Saccharomyces cerevisiae S288C: one gene and its partners. The gene in region 1 interacts genetically with each later gene. Each region holds a gene or a part of one and is shown on either strand. Other genes may lie near its edges.

Region 1 (3,080 bases):
TTGAACAGAATGCATCTGGATGAGGTCGTTCCTACATCAATACTGGCGATAAGCGGGACGTAGTCACTTCGTAAATCTTCCATTATTTTGGACATACGGCTCTGTTCTTGTTTTAAACTAGTGTAAAGGCGCTGGCTTGATCGGAATATGTAACGTTTGGAGAATACTACAAGTCGGAAGAGAGAGGGAAACATATAACTATTTGTATAGTTCCGGCCACAACTCAAACCACATGGTATATTTTATATGGTTCGAGAACAGGCATCCCCCCACATTTTATTACACCTTATCCGTTCTAAAAGTCTTGGCTGTCTTTTTTTCCTTTCCTTTTCCTTTTTTTTTTTTCAATTTTTTTGTCAATGCAGTCAGCCCCTCACTATGCTACTCCACACCCTTTAATTGATGGTTTTACTCCAATTAGAAGAGAAGAATTACGAAATGGCCTGTATGGGTAGATTCTTGTTATGTTTTTACATACGTTGTTTAATAAAAGTCGTTATTTACCATGTGAAAAACAAAAACAGTATACAAAGGGTGGTTATCGTGGCCAATACAAACGCGTTTTTCTTCCTTCTCGTGTTAATCTTCATAATAAGCTGATTGACACCTGGTATTCTTTGTAAAGTTTGCAACACCTTGTTGTTTGCCGTGTTCAGCACGTTGCTCTGCGAGTGGAACTGCGACCGAGTCTCCCAGGCTTGGGAGATGAGACGGTCGACTACGTTGTTGGACTGATCGATTCGCCTTGTTTCGTTCTGAATGTACTCGTCAGCATCCCCTATAGGAGCTGGCGCGTCCGTTGTGGAATTAGCAATATCGTTCTTCACGCTGAATAACAAGTTTAGTCTGTTGCGCTCTTGCTGGATGGAGGACCTGATATTGCGGAAGCTCTTCCAGTGGTCTTGTAAGATCTCCTTGTGGCGGTGCAGTTGGGAAAGCTTTGAGGCGGAGATTGCCGGGTTAGAATCGCAGATTTGTGTTAATGAATCGATTACATCCTGTCTCTGGCCTAAGATTCCCTCCAACTGCTTGTCTATCTTCTTTTCTTGGCCAGTTTGTTCTGAACTAGTTGTCTGCGCGAATGTGGAGTACTTGGAAAGAAGTGACTCCGTTTGTGTTTCTAGAGAAATGGCCTTGCCCCTTATGGTGACGAAAGACGGTTGTGAGCTCATGTGGTGTGGTTGCTTGTCTGGAATTGGGCTTTTCCCTGTGTCTAGTTAGTTTATTTTTTCCTTGTCTTTTTATCTCTTTTTTTTTGTTTTTCGTTCTCTTTATTTTCAACAACGCCTAGAAAATTTGGTTACCAACCACACTATTGAACAAAGATAACTAACTGATTGAACAAGAGTAGGCGTCTTACACTGGGTTTGCAAGTGTCATTGACTTTTGTTGCATTGCTGTGAAATGCACATTCGGAGCAGTTGAAGGTCTCTTGCTGAATGCTCACATATTTTCAAAATATTGTTTTGGCTGCGGAGTTTGTGCCTGATCAGTAACTACCAATCTCGTGAGATTTTTCATAAGCATCTTTGAAAGCTTTTATACTTATTTGATCTTTGTATATATCAGGTTTTACCAGTTTAGCCGCCAGAGTTTTGGTATTTATGTGTTACCCGGTATATCCATATGCCTTTTCTTGGTGGCAAAAAAAAGGTACTTCCTGATATAAAGAAGCTGGTAAGCTCTCGATAACTGATCTCTTTGTCTTTGTGCAGGATTGGATAATACAATAATTATAGAAAAGTTTCTATTTCACCACGAACAACATTATGTCCATTTCTTCTGACGAAGCGAAAGAAAAACAGCTCGTGGAGAAGGCAGAATTGCGCCTGGCTATCGCAGATTCCCCTCAAAAGTTCGAAACTAATCTGCAGACTTTTTTGCCTCCATTATTACTAAAACTCGCCTCTCCACATGCCTCCGTTAGAACAGCAGTATTTTCAGCCTTAAAAAACCTCATTTCTAGGATAAATACGCTGCCCCAGGTTCAGCTTCCTGTGAGGGCGCTTATTGTCCAAGCAAAGGAACCCAATTTAGCCGCTCAACAAGACTCGACCAATGTCCGCCTTTACAGTCTGCTACTGGCGTCTAAAGGCATAGATAGGCTTTCCTTGCAAGATAGACAGCAGTTGCTACCGTTAGTCGTTTCGAACATCTCGTGTCTAACAGGCACAGTAGCCGCCAGAATGTTCCACATCCTTTTGAAGCTTATTTTGGAATGGGTTGCACCCCAGGAGTCTTCACATGAGCAGGAAGAATTTGTTCAGTTCCTTCAACTGGACAACGACGGTTTTTCGTTTTTGATGCGCCAATTTACCAGGTTTTTTCTGCTGGTACCTTCAAAGCAAGTCCAGGTTTCTCAACAGCCCCTGTCGAGAGGTTACACATGTCCGGGCCTATCTCTAACTGATGTGGCATTCTTTACTTATGATGCGGGCGTTACTTTCAACAAAGAACAGCTGAATAAGTTCAAAAAGGCTATTTTTCAATTTGTTTGCCGTGGCATGGCGGCTACCCAAACTATTGAGCAGTCACCTAGGATGATTGAACTGATGGAATTTTTGTGCGTTGTCTCTACGGATTCTACAAATTTATCTGATGATGCGGCTCAGTTCATGAAACGGTTTCCCATGCCTTATGAAAACGAAGAGTTCATCACCTTTCTTCAGACGCTGTACATCGGCAACACAGCAAATGGAAGACCGCCGGTCAAGGCTATCTTGCAAGAAAAAATCCTGTCCATATTAAACAGAAGTCACTTCGCCACCACCAAAGCAGAATGTATTTCGTTGATTTGCTCTATTGGATTGCATTCATCTGAGTATAAACTTAGATCTTTGACTCTTTCTTTTATTCGACACGTAGCAAAATTAAATTACAAAAATTTAAATCCTGCTTCTTCATCACCTTCATCAACAGACTTTTCCACTTGTATTGTTTCCTTGATTAGAAATAATCTTCATGCCGAAGGTTGGCCGAAGTTACAATTGGGGCCTCAGACCCCAGCTTTCAATACAGCCATTCTGCAGAGACAGCTGCAATATGAAACATTGGGTGATATCTTGAAAAGAGATTTTGAG
Region 2 (5,559 bases), on another chromosome or scaffold:
GTTTAGTAAAGTTAAAAATCATCTACACATGAGCTCACATCAACTGAAAAATGAAGAATCAGGAGAAGAGGACATTTTCGCAGAGTATCCAATAAAAGTTATTAGAACTCCACCGCCCGTTGCCGTATCCACTGCGAATAAACCAATCTATATTAATAGGGTTTGGACAGATTCTTTGTCATACGAGATTTCCTTTGCTCAGAAATACGTTTCACTAAACAGTGAAGTCCCAATCAAGATAAAATTGGCACCGATATGCAAAAACGTTTGTGTTAAACGTATTCATGTCAGTATTACTGAAAGAGTCACATTTGTTAGTAAAGGTTATGAATATGAGTATGATCAAACAGATCCCGTTGCTAAAGACCCTTATAATCCGTATTATTTAGATTTCGCCTCCAAGAGAAGAAAGGAAAGAAGTGTATCATTATTTGAAATCAGAACTAAGGAGAAGGGCACGAGAGCTCTAAGGGAGGAAATTGTTGAAAATTCATTCAATGACAATCTCTTATCTTATAGTCCTTTTGATGACGACAGCGATTCAAAAGGCAATCCGAAAGAAAGGCTCGGTATAACGGAACCAATAATTATTGAAACAAAATTGAAGTTCCCCAAATACGAAGATTTGGATAAAAGAACCGCAAAGATAATACCACCTTATGGTATCGATGCATACACGAGCATCCCCAATCCCGAACATGCCGTAGCCAATGGACCCTCACACCGTCGTCCCAGTGTAATAGGCTTTTTATCCGGTCATAAAGGCTCGAAAAGTCATGAAGAAAATGAAAAACCTGTTTATGATCCAAAATTCCATCAAACAATAATCAAATCCAATTCTGGTTTGCCCGTGAAAACACATACCAGATTAAACACACCGAAAAGAGGCTTGTACTTGGATAGTTTACACTTCAGTAATGTTTACTGTAGACATAAGCTGGAAATTATGCTACGAATCAGTAAACCTGATCCTGAGTGTCCGTCCAAATTAAGACATTATGAGGTTCTAATCGATACGCCCATATTCCTGGTGTCTGAACAGTGCAACAGTGGTAATATGGAGTTACCCACTTATGATATGGCCACAATGGAAGGCAAAGGCAACCAGGTTCCTCTAAGTATGAACAGCGACTTTTTTGGTAACACATGTCCACCTCCGCCAACTTTTGAAGAAGCCATATCCGTTCCAGCTTCTCCCATTGTCTCACCGATGGGATCACCTAATATCATGGCCTCGTATGACCCTGATTTACTATCTATTCAACAATTGAACTTATCAAGAACTACGTCAGTTAGTGGGCCATCCGGATACAGCGATGATGCCGGTGTGCCAAATGTTAATCGGAACAGTATTTCAAATGCCAATGCCATGAACGGCAGTATTTCGAATTCCGCATTTGTTTCGGGCAATAGTGGCCAAGGTGTTGCTAGAGCAAGAGCAACGTCAGTGAATGACAGGTCAAGATTCAATAATCTCGATAAATTATTGAGCACTCCATCGCCCGTCAATAGATCTCACAATTCATCACCAACAAATGGCTTATCACAAGCAAATGGTACTGTGAGGATTCCAAACGCTACCACTGAAAACTCTAAGGACAAACAGAACGAATTTTTCAAAAAGGGTTACACTTTAGCGAATGTAAAAGATGATGAAGAACAAGAAGGAATAGTAAGTTCGAGCTCCGCAGATTCGCTACTCTCTCATGGTAACGAGCCTCCGCGTTATGACGAAATAGTGCCTTTGATGAGTGATGAAGAATGAATTTTTTCGTTTTTTATTTTTTTTTGAATTATTCTACGATAATTATATATATAGAGCCACTGCATGTTTTACTCCCTTTTTGTTGACTACATGCTATTTAATTAGGTTAGGTTATAAATCTCTTTATTATTGTTTCTTATAACATAAACATTATTTTTCTTCTTCAACTAATCAATTCAATATGCACTATGAATGATAATTCAGATGCGCAGAACACCTCTTGCCGAATTGACACCAGCAGAGCTTAACATCCTCAAACCTGTTGCACCGAATGGGAAATATGAAATAGCATAATAAATGACGGCAACTAATTCAAGAAGAGCACATGTAATAGTCAGCACCGTGTTCTTGGAAAAGGCTGCGAAATAAATCGTCATGAAGCATGTGGCGAAAAAGAACATCGAAAAAGGCAGCCTTTCCCTTGCAGTCAAATGTTTTAAGTACGCGAGTGGTCCCATAAGTACCCCAAACGCAAGAACAAATAGTAGGGACCCCATTGTCCATAGTAAACCAAACTTTCTTGGTTTAGCGGCTAGAACGGGGAAAAGGAAAGTACAAAGAGTGAAACAGGCTGTTGCACCCAAAAGAAAACAGACAAAAAGTACCATTCTTTCCGTTCTTGACAATTGGAACCACGACGGCTCCTGGTCTTGCACCAAGTCCTGTCTAGATACAGGCAACGTCTGATATATATCCTGGGCCCTGGTATTGAGAGAATCCGCCCAGCTTGAGAACAATGTCTTCGCAGATTCATTAAAACCCTGCGAGTTCTGCTGTCTTGTTTGATTCCATCGATTCAATGAGTCACGGAGACTATTGACCTGGTCAGAAGGTGGTTCCTCGCTCATATTCTCCACACTTGTTCTTTTTTTTTACCAGCAAAAAAAAAAAACGCAACTGCAGACAATACAGGTAATCTAAGTCCTACTCTAAACTACCGAACGCAATTAGAATGCAAATTTATTCAATCTTCTTCCTATTTCAGTATAGTACAAGTCTTGACCAATACTCCCTCTTCATTACAATCGCCTTTTGCCGGGTCACGATTGCGGGCCGTTCCGCGGGATGTGACTCTTCGCAAGTTACTTTTGAAATAATAAAGCCATGGTGATTAGAAAAGCCTTCTTATGAGCAACAGAAACTAACAATTGTACTACTCGGTCCGGACAGTAGGATCTCCAATATTACTGCAGGTTAGTACATTATTTTTTACTCGCAGTTGCTATTTTGGCTAGAGGCTGCACGGAATCATCAAGGAATTTTTCACAATCCGAATTTCTGTCTTACGTGAGCATATATAAGATAACAAAAACGACATTACTGCATTCACATTACTTAGTTGACAAGTATCCTTTAATAGAATACTCTTATTTTTTGTCAGGCGAACCTACTTCTTAAATAAGTGAAGAATGATGAACAATAACGAAAGTGAGGCTGAGAACCAACGTCTACTGGACGAATTAATGAACCAGACAAAAGTCCTCCAGGAAACTTTAGATTTTTCGTTAGTGACACCCACTCCACACCACAATGATGATTACAAGATACACGGAAGTGCCTACCCAGGTGGTGAGACTCCTGCCCAACAGCATGAAAAACTCTCATACATCAATACGCACAACTCTAACGATAATAATAACTTAATGGGCAGTCAAGCGAGGTCCAATTCACAAACTCCTACAGCTTCGACCATATATGAGGAAGCAGAATCGCAATCGTCTTACCTGGATGATATGTTTAGAACAAGCCAAGGCGGTAGACCTGTCACTCAAAATTCCATATCTTCCATAGGGCAGGGTCCCTTGAGATCATCTTATTCTATGGCTTACGACTCACCTGTGGATAGAGCAATGAATACTCCATTACAGCAACAAGAAGGCTTAAAAGCTGAGTTACCACATGACTTTTTATTTCAGCATGGCACCGATGACACAATGTATAACTTAACTGATGATTTGAGCTCCTCTTTATCTTCTAGCATCAATTCTGATATGATGACACCAAACACATATTCATCATCATTTTCTTATAATCCACAAAGCTTGGGCCCAGCATCCGTATCTTCCACATATTCCCCAAAGGTAAGATCACCATCATCGTCATTTCGTGCAGGAAGTTTCCTTTCATCTTCTTTTAGGCATGGTAGCATAAACACACCCAGAACAAGACACACTTCAATAAGTAGCAATATGACTGAAAATATAGGACCTGGAAGTGTTCCAAAGATTTTAGGCGGGTTAACTTCTGATGAGAAACTGAGGCGCAAAAGAGAGTTTCATAATGCCGTCGAAAGGAGAAGAAGAGAATTAATAAAGCAAAAGATAAAAGAACTCGGCCAGTTGGTTCCACCATCTTTATTGAATTACGATGACCTAGGTAAACAAATCAAACCAAATAAGGGTATCATTTTGGATAGAACGGTCGAATATTTACAATACCTGGCCGAAATTTTAGAAATACAAGCACGAAAAAAGAAGGCGTTATTGGCGAAGATAAAAGAATTGGAAGAGAAGAAAAGTTCTGTCGCAGCATTATCTCCTTTTACCAATAACCACCATGCCAGTTCGGGGCAAAATAATAGCGAGAATAGTGAGGAAAGAATTATAGATATTAGATCTGTCCCAAATGCTTTGATGAATGAACAAAATAGTAAGGCTGAATTGCACAATTGGGAGCCACCGTTATATGATTCGGTCGGTAACCACAATCATGCTGGCACTATGGAGAGTCATCCACATACAAACATTCATGAAGAATTAAAGGAGTTCTTATCAGGCGATTTGATTGAAGCCGAAGATAATGCAAAATTAATGTTTGGAGATGACAACTCTAATCCAGCTGACTATCTTTTAGAATTTGGTTCGGGGTAGTTTATGGTCTTATTAGCGGGAAAAAATTAAATTTGAAAAAGGTCAGGTAAGCAAAAGCAGTAAAACTTCAATATCTATGTTTGTTCCTTCTATTGGGAGAACGTTAATCGCTTCCGTACTCGCAAGATAATGTAATGAAAAAATTAGGAATTGCAACAAAATAAAGCGGAATATTAGTAACGCTTACATGCAACGTTTTGAAAAGAGTGGAAGAGATAGGCAAGCAGAATTATATGTAACAAAATCTAAAATTATTCACTATTATTCTTGGTTATGTCTAATACTTTGGATATATTAATTCTTTAGAATTTTATGTATTCTAAATGCAATTATGTCAATAAAACCCATGTAATTTTCTTTCATGATATGATTTAAATGCATTAGTATTATCAGGCATATTGTTATATATGAAGAAGGTTAGTTATAAGTAGTGTATAATATATACATGTGCTGCCCGCAATTGGGTATGATATGATTTTTAGTGCTTTATAATTTGGCGTCGCAAGAATGTAGATCACTTGTATCAATGGAAAGCTTACTTGGGTAACTCATTTATTGAGAAAATCAATGGATGTCGAATTTATATAGAGTAGAGCCAACACTTCATGATTGGAAAGCATATACCAAACGGTATACCACTGATAATATGAATGCAGAAGACTAATGCGCTACACATCATACTTTACGGCGATGATATATTTCAAGATAGCATAAGCTCTATGGTTATTCTGATGTTACTGGTAGTCGTAAGTGCAGTATCACGAACGTATAGAAGAATAAACATGGGTCTCATCAAAAAAGTGACCCATTGGTCATATGATAATTTGATTGATTATCTTTCAGTGAACCCTACAAGAGATGAAGTGACCCACTATAAAGTGGATCCGGAAAATGAATCTGATGAATCAATTATTAAATTACACA
Region 3 (7,685 bases), on another chromosome or scaffold:
AATTAGTTATAATTATGGTGTGAGAGTTGAAATATCCTTGAATAACAAAACAGAAAAAAGAAAAAACCCATTTGAATATAAAAATCATTGATGCAAAAGAAAGCCGTTAAATCTACAATGCCACGAAATTATTGTAATGTATGAAAAAAAGGAAGAGGGTAGCAATCCTAAAACAAAAACCCTAACAATACACATGATGCAACTGGAACGCATCAGTATTTGTAGGTTTTTATTTCGCGGATAGCGTTGCCATCAACGTCGACCTCGGTGGATTCACTACGGTAAATCTGGGTAGGTCCGTTACAGTCGAAAGGATGTTCTTTAGCATAGTCGAAGGCCTCGGAGATGGCCAATTTGACTTTTTCCAAAGTATCTCTGGTGACTTGATAGTGGAACGAGACTCTACCACCCATTAGCTTAACGTTGTACTTCAAACCCTTCTTAACAAGGACATCTGGGTCCATTCTAGCGGCCTTCAGGTTAATAAAGACAAAGTTGGTGTCTGCTGGAGACTCTAGCGGGATGCCCTTTGCCTCACAATATTCGGCTAATTCATGAGCCAAAGAGTGCGAGTACAGCAATTGGGACTTCCAATCGTTGTTGATGTTTACAAGAGCCATTCTAGCCATCATACCAGATTGTCTAATACCACCACCTTGTTGTTTTCTGAAATGGGTGGCCTTCTTGACAAACTTAAGGTTCCCAACCAAGACGGACCCAATAGGAGCACCCATAGACTTGGATAGACAGATGGAGATGGAGTCGAAGATTTCCCCATATTGCTTTAATGGCACGCCAGATTGTGCAGCGGCATTCCAGATTCTGGCACCGTCACAATGTAGTTTGAGACCATTTTCCATACACCAAGCTTTGATGCGGACCAGTTCTTCCAATGGATAAACAATACCGTGTAAAGTGTTTTCCAGAGAAATCAATCTGGTGGGGGCACCGTGAATATCACCGTCGTCTGGGACGTAGTGTGACTTGATGTCTTCCAAGGTCAAGTAGTCACCGTTGGAAGGAACCACAGGAACCACCATCGCTTGAGACAAGATCGCCAGTCCAGCGGCTTCGTGAGTGTAAACGTGAGCCCTGTAATCACATAGAATAGAGTATGGAGGTTGCATCAAGTGAGTTCTGATGGCAATCTGGTTGGACAAAGTCCCAGAGACACAGAACAAACCTGCTTCTTTGCCAGCCATGCGGGCAACGGTCTGTTCGAGCCTAACGGTGTCAACATCTTCACCGTAGACAGCGTCACCGATAGAGGCCTCTAAAGCGGCCTCCATCATCTCTGCAGTTGGAGTGGTGAATGTGTCTGACCGCAAGTCGTTAGCAGCGGTGATATATTTTGGAGGCAATTCGAATTCAGTCATTGTGTTTATGTTTGCGTTTGTGTGCGGGAGTAAAAGTGAGTGTAAGCCTAGGAAAGGAGGTGGTTACGAACTAGCCAGCGGAAACAATGTACGTATATGTATGTAAGTATTACTCTATACCAGACAGAACAAGATAGACGAGAAGGACACATGGAGGATTTGACAGGCAAGCTCAACACTTGCTTATATATATACACATATGTGCTATTGCAAATGCAAAAAGCGTATATCCAGTGAAGAAAAAGACGAAAAAAGACGAAGAAATAAAAAGAAAAACCGGTGAACGAATATGGCAAGTGAAAAAGTGCGCAATGAGTAATACAAAGGGCGAAGCAGCGGGAAAAAAGAAACGGCGCTGCTGCCCGGAAACCGGAAGCGAAGCTTTGTGGGGTACGGGTGCATGCTCGGCTTTTTCCAGATAGGGGAAGTGCCGTCGCCAAAAAGGCAAGGGTCCGTTTCGCGTGACATTTCATAGCGGGCCAAGCGTGGGTCACGTGCTGCACAGGCCTGCCGCTGGCATGATTTGTCAGCACATATACAACAAGAAGTATTGGTTGCGTTGAAGAAAAAAAGAATAGTAATAACAATTTGGGGCCGTGTGTAAAAAAAATAGGAAACAGCTACCCCGGCGTGCCGTGTGGCTCTCTGTGCGAAGGAAGGCCCTGTCGCCGCACATATTCGATGAATATCGATGACGACGACTACCTTCTGGTTGCATAGTTTATTAGTCTGTGCCTGTTCTTCGGCGAGTGAGTAGATGAAAGAAAGAATGAGTTAGAGAGAATTCTAGGCCAGGTTCGGCTTAGTTAAGCTTAGCTTACTTTGGGTTTACTTAGCGTGCTTTTTTTCTTCCGCGCTGAGACGGTGAGGAATGGAAGTGTAAAGAAGCGAACGAGGGAAAAAAAGTTGTGACCTAGGGGAAGGTTAAAATTGTCATCATCATCAGCGTGAGAAAGTCGAAACAATGAGCGGTAGTAGGGGCAATAGCAGCAATAGTAGCGTCAGTAATAATAGTAATAATAACAATAATAATGACGGGGGCGACGAGAGATTGCTGTTTCTAAGAAGCGTGGGCGAACGCAATGAAATTGGCTTTCCCTCTAGATTCAAGTCGGCGCATTACAAGAAACCGACAAGAAGACACAAATCAGCGAGGCAGTTGATCTCGGACGAAAACAAGCGGATCAACGCCTTGTTGACCAAGGCTAACAAAGCTGCAGAGAGTTCTACTGCTGCTAGGCGACTTGTGCCCAAAGCGACGTACTTTAGCGTGGAAGCGCCACCGTCTATCAGGCCTGCCAAGAAGTACTGCGATGTTACTGGGTTGAAGGGCTTCTACAAGTCGCCTACGAACAACATTCGGTATCACAACGCAGAAATCTATCAGTTAATCGTAAAGCCGATGGCCCCCGGCGTCGATCAGGAGTACTTAAAATTGAGAGGGGCCAACTTCGTTCTAAAATAGGCATTGTATATGTATGTATGTATTTTAGCTTGTAGACAACCTTTCACACTTACATAGTTTGTCGCTGGTCACGTGCGACAATGCAAAATAGTGTAGAGTAAAGCTAAAAAGGACAAGATAAAGTGAAAAAAAAATAATAAAAAAAAAAAAGGAATATTGTTAATGGAAAGCGTGTAAAGACACATTACGCTCCTACCTAGGACTACCAACACATGCATGGATGCCAGTCTCTGTAATAACCACGGTTTTAGCATGTCTGTGGCTCTCTTATAGGCTCTATAAGTTTCTCACTATTCCTGTGTCCAGCATCGTCTCCACTTTGAAGATCAAAACTCCACCGGCAACAAAAGTGTCTATCGACAAAATAGCCACGGATTCAGTGACCATTCATTGGGAGAACGAACCTGTAAAAGCGGAGGACAATGGCAGTGCGGATAGAAACTTCATTTCCCACTATTTGTTGTATCTGAATAACACACAATTGGCTATCTTCCCAAACAACCCAAACTCCCTTTACACATGCTGCTCCATCACGGGTCTCGAGGCGGAGACGCAGTACCAGTTAGATTTTATAACGATTAACAACAAGGGCTTTATCAATAAGCTACCCTCCATTTACTGTATGACGAAGGCGAGAGAGGCGAATGAAGCGTTAAAGACTAGAAAATGGAGAAGAAACACCATCACATCGTCCACAGCTATGCAGCCCAGAAACTCCAAGTCCGAACCCGCCCCGTTGCCCTCTCACTACTCCTCTGTTTCCCTGTCTACTTTCTCATCCAATATTACTAATAGCGCCACCAGCAATAATGGTTCAAATCTACCCGCTTACACATCTTTGACTACGTTGAAGGATTTGGATTCGTTTTCCATCGATGATCTGAAAAAGATACTGATTTGCGCCCAGGAGGACTTACACGATGTGTTGTCCCAACAAACTTCGCTTTTGCAAGATTTTCAAGAATCGAAGTTAGAATTAGAACTAGAACTGGATAACTTGAAAACACATTGGTCGCACGAAATTGACTTGCGGAAATCCTTGAAATCCAATATCAAGTCATTGGAGAATTCTAAACTATTGACCGATTTGAAAATCGAAAAATTGAACAAGAAAATCGACAAATCCAAGGAAAAAATATCGAAAATGCGCAATGATATGCAGAAATGGTCTCAGGAAGATACCGAGCTGTTGTCTAAGGATACCATAAAGGAGAAATATTTCAAATTGCTAAATGAATCCAATGCCTCTGTGGCCAATATCAACAAAGAAATTGAGTCTTTACAAAATGAAATTTCCAAGATGGAGGAGTCTAACAAGAGATTGAACGCCTCCAAAAAATCATTGATTACTTCCATAGTGGTGAATGCCAATGTGGAAAACGATAAACCTATTGCTAGCGGAGAATTGTCGGCTGTTTTGAAGAAGCTCAATGATTTTACTTTAGAAAAAAATGGATTTTTAAGTAATGCTGGTGAAGAGTTTCTATCCAAATTGAATGCAGACTCATCATTGATTAAAATGATTAAGCAAGAGCTAAGCATTGATCAAGAATTGGAGGCCAACTGGAAATTGCAGAGGTCAAATTTGTTGAAGAAAATTAGTGCTTTAGAAAACCAATTTAATGAAATGAGCCTTAATAATCGGAATTTGAAAACAAAATTAATGGTTCAACCATATAAGAATAACGGTGATTCGCTTGCTGCCACCAATTCGAATAATTCCGCGGAAAAAAACAGAAGTTCTGGATCGATTCAATTACCATTATCCAACAACATGTCAAGAACGGGGTCCATTGATTTAATATCGAATAATAACAAAAGTATTAACAACAGTAATGCTGATTCTGCTCCTCCGTTGAGGTTGCACAATCCAGTTTCGTACTCTCCTTCGAATGAACCCATACAACCTTCAAGCAGTCTATTGAGTCAATTGACACAGGACACCGATAATCGATCAATGCTCTCCAATCACATCTCATCGAACAACGAAAACAAGCAACAGCCTTCTTCATATTCACATGCTTTACCTACAACTGCTACTGCTAATGCAACAGCAACAGCAACAGCAACTAATGGTCACTCAAGGTCAAATTTATGGACCACCGCACAATTCGCTCAACCTTCGCATCAACAAGTATCTACAGAATTGGATCAAGCTTTTGAATACGATAATGCAAACCACTTAATCAGTGGTTTGCAAAATATGATCTACGACGAAACAGACTATCCTGATAACATAAGCAATTATTCCAAGGGTTTTACTACAGACGAACTTGACAATTACTGGACTAAGCAGCAACCCCAGGTGCGCAGCACAAATGAAAGTCTTTTCTCTACGACTGGAACACCTATGTCATCATATAAGGCTAACCCAGTAATATCTCCATATTCTAGTTCTCATTTGCGACAAACCTCCAACGCAACCAATACGAATCCTATGCATCCACAGAGTCTACTCGCCGCTACATTGAATGATCCTTCATTACAAAGTTTTGTACGCAGTGGTTCTTTCTACAGTGCTCCGCAACCTGCAAACTCCTTACAGAACAATATCAATGGCAATGAAACCGAGAACATTAGTCCAAGGATATCAAGTGACTTCAATTTATTGGTGCCAAACTTGAGCCCACGACTCTCAAACGATGTGCCCATTGTTCCAGGCAATAACACTACTTTAACACCTTCACACTCGAACATATTAACAATGAACCATCAACCAACGGCGGATAACATTACACGAAGATCTTTCCATGCCTCTTCACCACCTTTCAACTCCATATGGAATTCAAATACAAATCAACTTTCTCCTCCATTGGAGGAGCAGTATCACCTCGATGTGCCTGTGGGTCCAAAGGTTCCCGCTAAAGAACCAAGCCCTAAGCCTTCTCACAAGAGGAACCAAAGTAACAGCAGCATTTCTTCTGCATGGTCCAAGTTTAAGCACAAGTCTGCATCATCACCTGCTAATGCGGACACGGATATTCAAGATTCATCAACTCCATCAACTAGTCCAAGCGGTAGAAGAATGTCAAAACTGTTGTCCAAGAGCGGTATGAATAATCTATTTAACCCGCACAGTCACGACTCATGAACAATATTATAATACTTCCAGGTCGTGTATATATGTAGATATATAAATTATGAAACATAATATATGAAAGCAGTTTGAGCTTATTCTTAATCATCAATAGGGTAACGGTATTAATCTCATTTTTTCTTTTTTTTTTTCTTTTTATTTTGGCGTCTCGTCTCAATTTCATTTTTCCCATCTTTTTACAACTTCAATATGAAAAACATAACACATGAAAAATAACTGTCAACATTAATAATATTCCTTGCATAGTGCTTCGATTTTCCAAATATAAAAACAGTTTCTTTTACAAGCTTATTTAATTTTGGTTTTAAGGAGAAAGCACTAATAAAAAGGGCAAGGACTGCAATCAACAATCTTTATTGGCGAACAGTTAAGGGTCCTCTCGAGAAGAAACATTAAGACATCATCGCACAAAAAACATGGCGCCCATCTTTAGAAATTACCGGTTCGCTATCGGTGCTTTTGCCGTTATTATGCTCATTTTGTTGATTAAAACATCTTCCATCGGTCCACCTTCTATTGCACGTACAGTTACTCCTAATGCTAGTATTCCCAAAACTCCGGAGGACATCTCTATCTTGCCCGTCAATGATGAACCAGGTTACCTTCAAGATTCGAAGACTGAACAAAACTATCCTGAGCTTGCCGATGCTGTGAAGTCACAAACAAGTCAAACATGCAGCGAAGAACATAAGTATGTTATCATGATCGATGCCGGCTCTACCGGTTCCCGAGTACATATATACAAGTTTGACGTCTGTACTTCCCCACCTACATTACTTGATGAAAAATTCGACATGTTAGAGCCTGGTTTATCTTCTTTCGATACCGATTCCGTTGGTGCCGCTAACTCCCTTGACCCATTACTGAAAGTAGCAATGAACTATGTCCCTATTAAGGCAAGAAGTTGTACTCCCGTTGCGGTGAAAGCTACTGCAGGCCTAAGACTCTTGGGTGATGCCAAATCTTCAAAAATTTTGAGCGCTGTAAGGGATCATTTGGAGAAGGACTATCCTTTCCCAGTTGTCGAAGGTGATGGTGTTTCCATCATGGGCGGTGATGAAGAAGGTGTCTTCGCCTGGATTACTACAAACTACCTATTAGGTAATATCGGTGCTAATGGCCCCAAGTTACCTACTGCTGCCGTTTTTGACTTAGGCGGAGGGTCTACACAAATTGTTTTTGAGCCTACTTTCCCAATAAATGAAAAAATGGTCGATGGTGAGCATAAATTTGATTTGAAGTTTGGTGATGAAAATTACACCTTGTACCAATTTTCTCATCTAGGTTACGGTTTGAAGGAAGGAAGAAATAAAGTTAACTCTGTTCTTGTGGAAAATGCATTAAAAGACGGCAAAATATTGAAGGGTGATAACACTAAGACTCATCAATTGTCATCTCCATGCCTACCGCCTAAAGTTAATGCCACAAATGAAAAGGTTACATTAGAATCCAAGGAAACTTATACCATTGACTTTATAGGGCCGGACGAGCCAAGTGGTGCACAATGTAGATTTCTGACTGATGAAATTTTGAATAAAGATGCTCAGTGCCAGTCTCCACCATGCTCTTTCAATGGGGTTCACCAACCTTCTTTAGTTCGTACATTCAAAGAATCGAACGATATCTATATTTTCTCTTATTTCTACGACAGAACCCGTCCATTGGGTATGCCCTTGTCCTTTACTTTGAATGAATTGAACGATTTGGCAAGAATAGTGTGTAAAGGCGAAGAAACTTGGAATAGTGT
Region 4 (5,562 bases), on another chromosome or scaffold:
AAATTTGATTAAAAAAGTCAAACCAAAAAAACTACGACAATACATGAAGCTCTGAATCTTCTAGCCTAGTCATTTTATATATATATATTCACCTCCTCTCGATACGTTCCATCATAAGTTAGTTTTGTTTTTCTCTTTCTCGCGATCCTAATTAAAAATTAAATAAAATAAATAAATACATATGTATATATATTCATATGTAGAAGATTATTGTTCTTATACATCAGTGTTTTGATTTATGGTAACCTATCCCAACCTTCTGGCTTATCTTTCTTCATAATGTCGAAGTAATGTCCGCCACATGAACCACTTCTAAACGTGAAATCGTTACCCTGGTCACAGTTACAATTATATTGGTTCCATATATCATCGTTTAGGGGACAGTTATTGTACTTGTCATAATGGAATCCTATATTTTCGAAAAAATGTATTTTATCCTTTGGCAACAGCATCGATAACCCAATTGTGTGGATGATGGAATCAGACCATTTCCAGTAGAAAATACCGCCCTCTTCGTCGATGTAATTAAAAAATTTCCTGTAAGCTGGCGATCTATAAAAGTTCAAATTACCAATTTCAAAATTTGATGTGAATTCACAGTTGTTAAAATCTTCAGAGTCCTTTTTTGTAATAAATGACTTGAAATTATTCTCGGAAATAAACTTTGGAAAATCCTTTGCAAATTTTTTCGTAACATCCCAAATCTTCTCATTGGCTTCCTTAGCTTCACTCATACTCAATGTGAAACCAAACACTTTGCCTTCATCTTGCATCCACCTAAAAAGGTCATGATCAATATCACAGTACAATTTAATACCAGGGTCTACTCTCCAGTACCAATCAAACTCATCCAGAACTGGATGCCTCCAAAAAAACCCTGCAAAATATCTAGCTTGATATCTTACAGCTCTAGAATCACCATCCGGTACATTTGCTAATGAAATTAGCGATTCTGCTGCTTTATTTTCATCAATCCATTCAGGGTATACCCATTCGTCTGCAGGAATTTCAGCAAATTTAATATTAATTAACTCAGGATCACCATTCATAGAATCAGTTATGGCTTGACGAATCATTTCTTGCTTCATTCCGTCAAGCTCCCCCTGACTAATAAAAACCCAAGGATAAGCAAAATTTTTGTTAAACTTCACCTGCACTTCATCAATAGATTGTAAGATTTGGGTCATGGAATCCCTTTCAGTAATTAGTGAGACAAAGCACGCCTTTGGTGGTGATCCTCTATGATTGATATACGATGGCACCATGAACCCTAGCGTCGTTTCATTACCACCATAAGATTTGATCTTTTCCTTAATGGCATTCACGGTGGCATTTCTAATGGCCTCTCCCTCTAAAGATTGCTTCAATTCGGCTTCTTCCTGTTCACTTTGTATACGCCTTTGTTCCTCTGCACTAATTTTTGCAATAGGTTGCAAAGATTTCGGAAGGTATGGTGTAACATACTGTTCAGACATCTGCTTTGTTTTTGGATGATTTATTGTCACCATTAGCGCAAGCACGAAAACAAACGAAATCAACAGAAAGCGTGCTATTTTTTTGCTCAGCAGTACGTGCATCTTACCTTATCTTATCTTCACTAAAGGGCACAAAAGGTTGGGTGAACGCTTAGTATCCCTCTAGTCTTGTATACTCGTACACATTATAAGTACATTTAACAAATCTCATCCACATTTCTCGAATAAATATCACATGTAACTTGAAGGTTATTTTTATATTTTTTTTTCCTGTGAAGGAACAACTCGTGTCTCACGAGAGCGCCACTTAAAAAACGAAAAGATAATCGGCGATGACTATATATGTATGTGATTGAGAATAAAAATATGGAAAGATAAAAGACCTAGTAACGTTGTATTTCAATAGTGAGGATAACATAAAGAAGTAAAAAGATCTTTGAAAATGTATGAAGTAATACAGAAAAGGAAAACAAAAATAATAAACGTTTTACAGAGTCCTGAACTCATGAGGCTCATAGAGGACCCATCAAATCTGGGTATTTCTTTACATTTTCCAGTAAGTTCACTGCTAAAAAGTAATAAGTGCACACCAATGCCTAAACTTTCTACGTATAGTTTGGCTAGTGGGGGATTTAAGGATTGGTGCGCGTGACATCCCTCTAGACGTTCCACCAGAGATTGATATCATCGATTTTTACTGGGATGTTATTTTATGCATGGAATCTCAATTCATATTAGATTACAATGTTCCGTCAAAAAATAAGGGGAACAATCAGAAGTCTGTTGCTAAGCTGTTGAAAAATAAGCTTGTAAACGATATGAAAACTACGTTAAAAAGACTAATTTATAATGAAAATACCAAGCAATATAAAAATAATAATAGCCACGATGGTTACAATTGGAGAAAACTAGGCTCGCAGTATTTCATACTGTATCTTCCCCTATTTACGCAGGAACTGATTTGGTGTAAACTTAATGAAAACTATTTCCATGTTGTATTACCATCTTTACTGAATAGTAGGAACGTTCATGATAACCACAGTACCTATATAAATAAAGATTGGTTACTTGCCCTTTTAGAGCTAACTTCCAACCTGAACCAAAACTTCAAATTCGAATACATGAAATTGAGATTGTATATTTTAAGAGATGATTTAATTAATAATGGTTTGGATCTTTTGAAAAATCTTAACTGGGTCGGTGGGAAACTGATTAAAAATGAAGATAGAGAAGTCTTGTTGAACTCGACCGATTTAGCTACGGATTCTATTTCTCATTTATTAGGTGATGAAAACTTTGTTATTTTAGAGTTTGAATGCTAAGCAGTTATATTCAGTTAGAAGCATATATCCCACCATTAAATAAGTTAACATACTACTGCATTTTTATTTTATGTTTAAGAGCAGATACGTCAATGTAGCTTGCATATGTACGTATCCTCCCCCACCTCCTATTTTCTACTTTGAACTTTATGGGAGTGTTAGTATAAGAAATATGTTTACACCTTTTTCAGACAAATGTAAACGGAAAATTAAAAAACGAATTCAGATCGATGTGTTAATCAAGTAGATGAAGGAGAATAAAGCATATAAAGCGCACCGCACACATGTTTCATTTAGTCAAGGGACTTTACAATAATTGGAATAAAAAGGAACAATATTCAATTCTAATATTAGGTCTAGACAATGCAGGCAAAACGACGTTCTTGGAGACATTGAAAAAGGAATACTCTCTGGCGTTCAAAGCCTTGGAAAAGATACAGCCTACGGTAGGACAAAATGTGGCGACAATACCCGTTGACAGTAAACAGATCTTGAAGTTTTGGGATGTAGGTGGTCAAGAATCACTGAGATCAATGTGGTCCGAATACTATTCCCTATGTCATGGTATAATTTTCATTGTGGATAGTTCAGATAGAGAACGATTAGACGAATGTTCCACGACCCTACAGTCAGTTGTAATGGATGAAGAAATTGAAGGTGTACCCATCTTGATGCTGGCCAATAAACAAGATAGACAAGATAGAATGGAAGTACAAGATATAAAAGAAGTATTTAATAAGATTGCGGAACATATAAGCGCTAGAGATAGTAGGGTTTTACCAATAAGCGCATTGACTGGAGAAGGTGTTAAAGACGCTATAGAATGGATGATTGTTAGACTAGAAAGGAATAAAAAGTCAAGACCACCGATTTATAAATGATAAAGAAGCACCAAAAGAAATAAAATGTGAATGGTTTATTCTCAAGCTCAGAAATTAGTTGTTGTAGCACTTTTTATTCGGCATTTTTTAATATACATGTGTAAATTATATATATATATATATGAATATATATCTTGTTTTGTTTATTTTCAACTAATAATCGCAACAATATTATCTTTCAATAACGCTATAGCTTCTGTATGCTTTTTGCTCAGTTGCTCAATGGTTCTCTTCCTCTATGTGATAAACCAAATAGTTTGGTAAGCCAAATACATCGTAGTTTAATCTCTTCGCCATCTTAGCAAAACCTTCTGTTTCAATCAAGTGATAAAATGGGAAATTAGGGAACATGGCACCGTCTCTGTGAACTTCTGCTTTGACCAAAGTACAGCCTCCACCAACACCATCCAGCGCCATCTCTTCACCTGGTACGCCATTAGCATCGTAGAAATGAGCCATTAATGGCCTATAAGTGGCAATTTCTGCATAACCCTCGACAATAATCTCGTCATCACCCATCTGAGAGGCTATTTCTAAACCGGTGTCACTTTCTTGCCAGTTGTTGAAATCGTATGGTCTGATTGATGGTTGCTTCTTCTCTTCATCGTAAAATCTTTGATAAATGTTTGCAGCTAAGATAGCTTTGTTGTGTTTGGTCATGTCTTGAATTAAAGATGGTGGTGTCTCTATAATATCGGCATCTAGCCACAGCACCCAAGAAGTGTGAGGTCCTATGGTGGAGAATAGTAATTCATTGCGCGCCAAAGCCATTGCTGCACGTCTTTCCTTTTGAACATCTAAAGCGTGTCTTTCCTTCTCCATCAACTTATCAAAACTCTGGGAATTCTGTCGCAAAATAGTAATTTTACTAAATCTTTGAGTTTTCTTGTCCGTTTGAACCTTTTTAATAGCATTCTCCAATTTCTTTAAGGCCAAGTCACCAGTGGCTGTTCTTGGTGTAATGAACCCCAATTCAATCAATTCCCGAGGGTAATTTAGCTGCAGCAAATTGTCCCAGTATTGTTGATGAAATGTTTGCATTGGAGTCAATATCAAAATATGCTCCTTATTGACAGCTGCTTCTGACGTAGAGTGCAATTTGTTCAAATCATAATGTGCAATATGACCTTCTGGGATAATATCTTCCACGTGATCGTTGAACAACCAGCCGCTTTTTTTCTTATAAGAGTACTTTGGCATTTTGTATTTCTTGGTGAAGGGAAAATAAAATGTGTTTTCCTTTTCGTGTGCCCATTTGTGTTGGGAAATGGACTGGCCATTAAGTCCCAACAGAGATTGATCTCTCTGGAAAAAAATTATATATATTAGAAATATGGCCAAAACAGGTAGAAAAATGTTAACCCACGGGTTCTTTCTTAGGCGGTACGATACAAGAGAAAGTGACATTGTTTCCTAACTTTTTATTCTAGCTCTTTTAAATTCTTCTGTTTGAAAAATACTAAAATTGATGCTATTCTCTTCTTACTTTCACAAAGTGCGGAAGGAAAAATAGGTTCAGAAATAACGGGTCCCAAGAGCGGCTAACAGAAAATAATAAAAGCTTTTCTACCAATTGAGAATCCGCTTGGTTGACGACTTTTCCTCCTTTATTATTCTTGATTTGGTGTTCTGTTTTACTTATATCAAAATACTTCAACGCCAAATCCGCTACAACGATGGAAAGGAAAAAAAAAAAAAAAAAAAAAAGACAAACCAATGCTGTCGTGTCTAGTGACGATAAAGGCTGTAACTATTAATAAGGTGAATACTCACCCTCATCTTTTAGTTTATCAAACTTATATAAAAATTGTGTATGTACTGAATTGTCCTTGGTGTGCGAGTGAGAGTGTGTGTGTGAGTGCGTGTGTGAGTAGGTGAGTGTAT

What was found.
Region 2: mutations in GOS1 (region 1) and SFT2 together harm fitness more than expected from each alone (negative genetic interaction), as found in Saccharomyces cerevisiae (3 studies listed by BioGRID).
Region 3: mutations in GOS1 (region 1) and GTA1 together harm fitness more than expected from each alone (negative genetic interaction), as found in Saccharomyces cerevisiae (3 studies listed by BioGRID).
Region 4: mutations in GOS1 (region 1) and ARL3 together harm fitness more than expected from each alone (negative genetic interaction), as found in Saccharomyces cerevisiae (4 studies listed by BioGRID, with this or other methods).

The regions. Positions count from the first base shown.
Region 1 is NC_001140.6:38,315-41,394, forward strand, and holds GOS1 (Gos1p), read right to left. Parts: upstream 1,173-3,080; coding exon 501-1,172; downstream 1-500. Other genes in the region: GUT1 (glycerol kinase), read right to left, coding at 1-194; ECM29 (Ecm29p), read left to right, coding at 1,770-3,080. UniProt on the Saccharomyces cerevisiae protein: Involved in transport from the ER to the Golgi apparatus as well as in intra-Golgi transport. It belongs to a super-family of proteins called t-SNAREs or soluble NSF (N-ethylmaleimide-sensitive factor) attachment protein receptor.
Region 2 is NC_001134.8:21,152-26,710, reverse strand, and holds SFT2 (Sft2p), read right to left. Parts: upstream 2,614-5,559; coding exon 1,966-2,613; downstream 1-1,965. Other genes in the region: ECM21 (Ecm21p), read left to right, coding at 1-1,765; RTG3 (Rtg3p), read left to right, coding at 3,175-4,635; SEA4 (Sea4p), read left to right, coding at 5,418-5,559. UniProt on the Saccharomyces cerevisiae protein: Nonessential protein required for the fusion of transport vesicles derived from the endocytic pathway with the Golgi complex. Can be partially replaced by GOT1.
Region 3 is NC_001137.3:67,417-75,101, forward strand, and holds GTA1 (Gta1p), read left to right. Parts: upstream 1-3,061; coding exon 3,062-5,932; downstream 5,933-7,685. Other genes in the region: threonine aldolase GLY1, read right to left, coding at 213-1,376; IES6 (Ies6p), read left to right, coding at 2,341-2,841; GDA1 (guanosine diphosphatase), read left to right, coding at 6,355-7,685.
Region 4 is NC_001148.4:456,882-462,443, forward strand, and holds ARL3 (Arf family GTPase ARL3), read left to right. Parts: upstream 1-3,081; coding exon 3,082-3,678; downstream 3,679-5,562. Other genes in the region: KTR6 (putative mannosyltransferase), read right to left, coding at 237-1,577; mannosyltransferase complex subunit MNN9, read right to left, coding at 3,898-5,085. UniProt on the Saccharomyces cerevisiae protein: Involved in the targeting of ARL1 to the Golgi. Can bind and hydrolyze GTP.